2 linked regions of the Oryctolagus cuniculus genome follow. The protein of the gene in region 1 interacts with the protein of each later gene in a biochemical or structural test. Links are inferred from orthologs where the notes say so. Each region holds a gene or a part of one and is shown on either strand. Other genes may lie near its edges.

Region 1 (3,806 bases):
GCCCAGGACAGCTGCGGGGAGGGGCGGGGCGGGGCTTGGCTCGGCTCACCTCGCCCCTGCCCGGCTCCTTCCCCTGCCCGGGATGCCACCCCCGTGCTCCCCCAGGCTGCACGCGGCACCCGCCTGCCTTCAGGCCTCACACAGAACAGCTGCGCTGGGTTCCTGTGCTGCATTTAGCACAAGCACACTCGAACGGTAGGACTTGCGCTAAATTCAGGACTGGCCCTGGGCACCTGAGGCATGAATGGGCAGAAGGTGATGGCAGGTCCCGCGAGCCAGCTTGGAGCCAGGAAGTGTTGACTCCACCAGGTCTGGCCACCCCTGGGGTGTGCAGTACCTGTGCCGGGAACCTGCTGGGCAGTACCACATGGAAAGACCCTGTCCTGTCTGGACTGGCTGAACCCTCGGCCTGCGTCAGAGAGCTCACAGACGGCAGAATCAGCTCACTGAAGGCCAAGGCAGTGGATGCCTCTGTCTGAAGGGTCCCCGTTCATCCCTTTTCTCTCACCCCCACAAAGGAGAGCAGCCCCCGGCCTCACAAATGTGGGCACCCGTGGCCGTGACTAACTTCCCTTGGGCTGTCTTTTAGCTTTAGCAGCCCCACTGGAGGTGTGAAACGGAAAGGAACCTTGAACAAGAAGGAGCCCCAGAAGAGAAGGAAGGCCGGCCCGCCCGAGGCACCGTCCGAGGACCTGCTGGTGGCCATGGCTCTGTCCCGCTCCGAGATGGAGCAGGGCCCTGCCACGCCTGCGCTCAGACTGCGGAGTGCTTTCTCCGCGAGGAGAGGTGGGTGTGGCCGGGAGCAGGTGGGTGTGGCCGGAGCTGTGGCTTACGCAGCTTGTTGCTGAGTCCACGGCTGACCGCGTCGCTTCCGTGTGTCTCTAGAGAAGAAAGGTCGCAAGAGGAAGCCCCCGGTGTCGCCCCCGCAGTTGCTCGTCCAGGACCGCGTGACCACAGGCAGGCAGATAGAGGACCGCGTGGCCCTGCTGCTGTCAGAGGAGGCGCCGCTGTCCCGCACGCCGCCGCTTCCCGCCAGCAGGATTCTGAAGGAAAAGCTGAGAAAGGCAGGCTGGTGCCTGCAGCCGCCGGAAGGGAAGCAGAACTTCCTGTGGGAGGGCAGCGCCCTGACCGGAGCCTGGGCCGTGGACGCCTTCTACACGGCCAGCCTCGTCCCTCCCATCGTGCCCCAGCGGCCTGCCGAGGTGAGCCCTGCTCCTCCAGACACGCGCGCACGGGCTCTGCGGACAGAGCTGCAGCTCCGACACCAGCGCCGGGCCACAGACAGCATGAGCGGTGGGGGGCAGGGCTCGGCTGAGGCGCTCTCTGTGGCAGCCACACGGCTCTGCGGGTGAGGACAGGGCAGAGCCTCGGCTTCCCCGAGAGTGTTTAGGACACCGAGTCCCAGGCCCTACTCCCGTGGGGCTGGTGTCATCACAGCAGGCGCCCAGGAACCACATTCTGCATACATGTTCCAGACAGTCGCGCGGGTGGCTCTGAGTCAGTTCTCGCCTTCCTGGGGTCCCCTGGCTGTCCACAGGCACGGATGGGCCACTCAGAGCAGCCTGTCGCTACTCAGTGACGGACACTTCCGGTCCCGCTCTGCAGTCTGGGTCTGGCCGTGCGCATGTGTAGAGGCTGCTGCGTGCCAGTGTCTGACAGCAGCCACGTGCTTACCCTGGCTTGCGCGCTTCTTGCAGGGCCTGACCCAGGAGCCTCCACGACCTACGAGGCCTCCTGAGCAGCCAGAGTCAGGTCTGGAGGGGCCACCTGCTCTCCCCAGCAGCCCCGGGGACCTGTCGTCATCGGCCAGCCAGAGGGAGCACCAGGCCCTGCAGGACCTCGTGGACCTGGCACGGGAGGGGCTGAGTGCCAGCCCGAGGCCCAGCAGTGAGGACCTGGCCAGCTCCGATGGGGCCACAGGTGAGACACTGGGTGGGCCGCAGGAGGGAAGGGGGCGCCTTCGTGTAAGCCCCGAGGCTCGGCGGCGTGTCCCCTGCTGCAGGAGCACGTGCAGCGCCCAGCAGCTTTTGCTTTGCTCGGAGGTGACTGTGGCACACACAAGTCTGTCACGATTTTCCTTCAACTTTAGGCCAAGACGGAGCTGGCTGCCCAGGTGAGTGATCCTTGTAACCTCCGGCGAGGGGCGGTGGTAGCAATGGCGGCGGCAGGGGCTTGCTTTAAATGGCCATGTCCTCAGCCAGCTCCTCCCAAGGCATCTTGGGTCCAGCCTGGCCTGTGGTGGGTGCCGCCGGCTGGATGCCGACATTGTCAGGGTGACGTGACGTTATCTCAACCTCCACCCCCTCTCAGGGCTGGATGTGGTGCCCCGCGGCCTCCCGCCGACCGGCTTTGTCCTGCCTAAGGAGAAGCACCTGGAGCGGGGCGACCACGCTTCGGTAAGGACTGGGGGTCTCCCACGTGAGCCCCTCCCTGGCGCTGTGACCGCTGTGGGGAGCTCCACTCCCTGCTGTCCCCAGGGCCTCCCCACTTCCACTGGCGTCACGGAGCAGCTCTGCTTCCCAGCAGGCGGACTCGGCAGCCCCCCCCGCCCGGCTGCCCCCGGGCCCTGCTGTGAAGGCTTGTTTGTTGCTTGTCTCGGAACACGGCGGGCGCCCGCAGTGGCTGAACCCCCAAGCCTGCGTAGTCGTGGGAGTCCGGGGGCCGCTCTTCTCTGTGCGGGGCCCTCGTTCCGCTGTGTGCTCTGCGTGCTCCTGCCGTAGCAACTTACGGCAACCCTCCCGTGTGGCCCCGGGGCCGCGCTCGGCTCCTACCACGGTCCCTCGTCCTGTGTTGGTGACCAGTGGGGTAGCACTTGGGTTTTCCCGAGAGTAGACAGCATCCCCAGAGGATCCCGGCCTCAGCCACACTGCCACACCAGGGCCAGGGCGATGGCATCGACGTGCACAGTGGACAGTGGGCCCTGAAGTGCTGGAACGCGGGGCCTGGGTCCAGCACACCAAGCTGCTCTGAGCACTGGGCCTACAGCACGCGTAGCTCACCCCGCGCTCCAGAACCACGGATGCCGCCTGCTCGTCCTTGTCAGGGCTGTGCTGCCTCTCCCCACCGGCCGGTCCCTGCCTGGGCATCTGAGACCCGGGCTGGTGTCCTCACTGCCCGACTGCAAGTGCCTGTGGTGATACAAAGCAGAGCCCGGCACAGCCCATCCCCTTCCTGAGCAGGGGCGCCCCGCGCTGCTCGGTCAGCAGAGTGGCAGTAGCGCGAGACGGTGACAGTGCTGACAGCTGTGCCTCTCACTTCAGCTCTCCATCGGGCTGCTGGTTGCCGACTTCAGCGCCATGGTCAACAACCCGCACCTGAGCGACGTCCAGTTCCAGGTGGACAGCGGCGAGGTGCTCTATGCCCACAAGTTTGTGCTTTACGCCCGATGTCCACTTCTCATTCAGCATGTGAGTACCGGCCATCAGGCAGCTCCCCCGCTCCTGCCCCTTCCGCCCTGCACGGGAGCGTCTTTGCTCTGTTGCTGTCAGGGTCCCGTCTGGGGAGGACAGAGAGGCACGTCAGGCTAGCTGCCGCGTGAGGAGTGGCCTCAGCGCGGCCGACATGCTCTGTGCTGCAGAATCAAGGCCAAGGCGCTCTGTCCCCAGAACGGTTTCCTCTTTTTTCAATTTGCATAATTGCAGAGTTCCAAACTGACCTTTTTTTCTTACCTGTTTTTAATTTTTAAATTTAGGAAGGCAGAGAGAGAGAGAGAGAGAGAGAATCTTCCATCCTCTTTCTTACTCCAAATGCCTGCAGTAGCTAGGGCTGAGCCAGGCCAGAGCCAGGAGGCTGGAGCTCAAGCCGGA
Region 2 (3,906 bases), on another chromosome or scaffold:
ACTTTAAACATCCATTCATTTACTTAACTTGGGAACTGGCCTTTTGCTTTTTCTATATTATCTCATTCACAAATCTTCGCTCTTAACCCGTACTTCCCATCCTCTTCCTCAACATAAATCACTCCACAATCTACCCAGCTGCTCAGAGACCAAGGAGTCCCTGCAGGCTTCCTCCACATATCCAGTGCACCGGCAGCTCTGGATCTCAAGTCCACTCATTTCCTCCAAGTTCAGGGCCACCACCATCTTGGCTAAACCATCTCTCAACATATGACAGCTTCCCATCTGGTTACCTCATTTCTACCAAAACTCCCTTAGTTACATAAACACAATAGTTTCTCAGAATGTGAAACTGGGGGCCAGTGTTGTGTCCAAGTGGGTAAAGCTGCCATCTGCAATGCCTGCATCCTATATGGGTGCCATCCGGCCGCTCCACTTCTGATCCAGCTCCCTGCTCATGGCCTAGGAAAGCAGTGAAGGATGGTCCAGGTATTTGGGCCCCTGTCACCCAGGCTCCTGGCTTCAGCCTGGCTCAGCCCTGGCCATTGTGGCCATGTGTGGAGTGAACCAGTGGATGGAAGATCTTGCTCTCTGTTAACTCTTTCAAAATAAGTAAAAATAAATCCTTAACAAATATGTAAAGCTGGATCAAGTCATTCTCTGGTTCCTACAGGTCTCGGCCTTTTAGGTCTTTAGGTGTTATCAGCTGCTAGGGCCTTCCTGACCAATGTAAAACACACACACACACACACAAACACGTTCTTAGCACCGATCACAATTTACAACTGTCATATATATGTATGCTTATTTACCGGCTAGATAAATAAAAAATGAAAACTAGAAAGGGCCATCGGGAGGGTGGAGACCATGTCTTCACGTTTTCCGCTGGTACTTCGAACACCCACCGGTGTCCGGCACCAAATTAGATCTCAACATGTTGAATGAACAGATGAACGTTCTGAAGTCCAACGTGTCAATATTACTGCTCCTTCTTACACATGAAGGGATCCACGCAAGCCCAGCGAGGCAATGCGGCGTGCCCACGTCACCAACAGCCAGAGAAGCGAGAAATCCACACGCAGGGGAGGGCCGAATGCTCCCCAGATACTCCCCAAGCCCGCGGCTCCGCCCAAGATACGGCACGTGACCGGCCACCGCCGCCACTCCAACCGGGCGTGCCACAGAACTCCCCAATCCCGCACCCAGGGACCTCCGCGGGGGCTGGCTGCCACCTCCCGGGTCCCCTGCCAGATCTCTCCGCAACGACTACATTGTCCCATTACCGGCCGCCCGCGTCCTCAGGGCCAGCGCCGCCGACGCCATGTTTGCCTTACAATCGCTTCCGGTCTCGAAAGGCTGCTTCCGCTACCGGGAGATCTACTTCCGGGTCCGGTGCGGCGGTTGAATGAGTGGCGCGAGGAGGTACAGGTGAGCGTCCGGGGTGTCGGACTTCACCGGCCAAGGCTGTCTTCCAGAGCGCCGCTGCGCGGGAGCTTGGTGGCCAGGGCGTCGGGGTCCTCCGCCCTGACGGCTGACCTGGGAGGCGCGGAGCGTGCCGGGCAGGGGTCTGCTTCTCCGAGTGGCTCATTTTGCAGGAGTCAACCGAGATCCCGCTGCGGGACACGGATGAGACCCCCTCCCTTGTCTTTAAAGTGCCAGACACCGTCCTAAGCGCGGTAATGCGTTAATTCTCACGGCCTTACAAAGGCGGTATTGCTATCCCTGTTGTACCAAGGGAGAAACAGGCCGAGGATTAGCTGGCTCACCCAGGGTCAGTAAGTTTTTGTTCGAGAAAGGAGGCTTGCATATGACCCAGCTAGTCCAGTCCTCAGTTTATATGCAAGAGAATTGAAAATATGCCCACATAAAAACTTGTACCTCGATGTTCATAACCGCGTTATTCATAGTGACCAAAAATAGAAACAAACCAAACGCCCCTTAAGTGATGCATAAGCAAAATGTGGTAGAGCCACACGTTGGAATATTCAGCCATGAAAAGCAATAAAGTACTGGCCCATACTGCGACACAGATGAAACTCCCAAACATAAAAGGGAAAGAGCCACATAGTGTGTGATTCCTCTGGATATGCAGTATCCAGCATGGGCAGACCCATAGAGCCATGGTAAATCTGTGGTTGCCAGGGGCTGGGGGGAGGAGGATGGACGATGATAGCTTAATGACTTCTGAAGTCATAGAAATGTTCTGGCATTAGCAGTGGTAGTTGCACAACACTAAATATATTAAAACTGTTGGGCTGTACACTTAAAAAGATGAATTTTTTTGAAAGATTTATTTATTTGAGAAGTACAGTCACAGAGAGGCAGAAGCAGAGAGAAGTCTTCCATCTGTTGGTTCACTCCCTAAATGGCTGCAAAAGCCGGAGACAGGTTGATCTGAAGCCAGGAGCCTGGAGCTTCTTCTGGGTCTCCCATGCAGGACTTGGGCCATCCTCTGCTGCTTTCCCAGGCCATAGGAGAGAGCTGGATCGGAAGTGGAGCAGCTGGGACTCCAACCAGCACCCACATGGGATGCTGACACTGCAGACAGCAGCTTAAACTGCTAGGCCACAGCACCATTTCAAATGGAGAGGTCTAGAGGGTGGTGATGAGTGTTGTTACTATCCAGTGAAAATTATAATATTATCCCTGCTTTTTAAGATTTATTTATTTATTTGAAAGGCAGAGTTACAGAGAGGCAGAGAGAGAGAGAGAGAGAGAGGTCCTCTATCCGCTGGTCCACTTCCCAGATGGCAGCACAACCAGAGAGCTAGGCTGATCTGAAGCCAGGAGCTTCTGGGTCTCCCACACAGGTATAGGGGCCCAAGGACTTGGGCCACTTCTACTGCTTTCCTAGGCCACAGCAGAGAGCTGAGTTGGAATTGGAACAGCCAGGACTTGAAGCAGCACCCAATGGGATGCCAGCACTGCAGGTGGTGGCCCTATCTGCTATACTGCAGTGCCGGCCCCCCTACTTTATTTAAACCTCGCCTAGACAGAAAAGATTTGAGGAAGGCTCCTGTTAGACCACAGATGTTGCTGTTCGGGGTTCCAGACAGGATACGGTAGGGATGTCCTCTTTCTCTGCTCATATTTCAAAAAGCTTGGCTGTATCTAGTGTACAGAATTGGATGCTACAGTCTCTGTCACCTCTCTTTTCCCTTATAGGGAATTCATTCAAATAGCACGTGTTGATGGCTCTAAAGTCACCACTGTCACTAGAATCCAGTGGGAGTGAATCCGAAGAGTTACCCACGTTCGCCTTTCTGAAGAAGGAATCATTTTCAACCAAGAAGAGGCAGGAGAAGGTCATAGTGGTTGTCAGCTCAGATTCCGAGGGCTCCTGTCCACCATCACCAGAGCCAATAGGTCCATCCCCTGACCCAGACACAGAGGAGGCGCTCCCACACGCAGAGCCAGTCCCGGTACTGAGCAGTGGAAGTGAGGACGAAGAGGAGTTCATCCCCTTGGCCGAGAGACTCACATGTAAGTTTTTGACCCACAAGCAGCTGAGCCCTGAAGACTCAAGCTCTGCAATTAGAAGCGTCTTGGATCATGAGAGTAATGAAGGAGCATCCTGTGACCGGATCCCCAACATCCCTGCTGTCCTCCACGGATCCTCAGGGAGGAACGCACCGAGTGGCAGGGACCCTATCTTGGACAGCCCTTGCCGTCAGCCTGCAGCCTACCGCTCCTCGTGTCCCCTCGAGAGCGACAGCTTGACAGTGACCAAAGCAAATCTTGACATCCCCCCACCTCAGAAGACAGCCACGCGTGGTCAGAAGGTGCGGGGATGGCGGCAGCAGGGGCAAGCGAGCCGGAAGGAAAGCCCCCCGAGACAGCAGAGACGGAAGAAGGAAGCGCCAGCTGGCAGGCTGAAGGCGCCAAGGCCAGAGGAGTGCTTGAAGC

What was found.
Region 2: the proteins of SLX4 (region 1) and EME1 form a complex in vitro, tested with the Homo sapiens proteins (3 studies listed by BioGRID, with this or other methods). The link is inferred for Oryctolagus cuniculus from reciprocal best matches to the Homo sapiens genes SLX4 and EME1.

Annotation. Positions count from the first base shown.
Region 1 is NC_091450.1:31,901,545-31,905,350, forward strand, and holds part of SLX4 (structure-specific endonuclease subunit SLX4), read left to right. Parts: intron 1-589; coding exon 590-786; intron 787-885; coding exon 886-1,202; intron 1,203-1,697; coding exon 1,698-1,920; intron 1,921-2,089; coding exon 2,090-2,113; intron 2,114-2,310; coding exon 2,311-2,396; intron 2,397-3,260; coding exon 3,261-3,407; intron 3,408-3,806. UniProt on the Homo sapiens protein: Regulatory subunit that interacts with and increases the activity of different structure-specific endonucleases.
Region 2 is NC_091448.1:26,293,814-26,297,719, forward strand, and holds the start of EME1 (crossover junction endonuclease EME1), read left to right. Parts: upstream 1-1,323; 5' UTR 1,324-1,428; intron 1,429-1,552; exon of another isoform or gene 1,553-1,676; intron 1,677-2,099; exon of another isoform or gene 2,100-2,123; intron 2,124-2,950; exon of another isoform or gene 2,951-3,062; intron 3,063-3,165; 5' UTR 3,166-3,191; coding exon 3,192-3,906. Other genes in the region: MRPL27 (large ribosomal subunit protein bL27m), read right to left, coding at 1,284-1,323. UniProt on the Homo sapiens protein: Non-catalytic subunit of the structure-specific, heterodimeric DNA endonuclease MUS81-EME1 which is involved in the maintenance of genome stability. In the complex, EME1 is required for DNA cleavage, participating in DNA recognition and bending.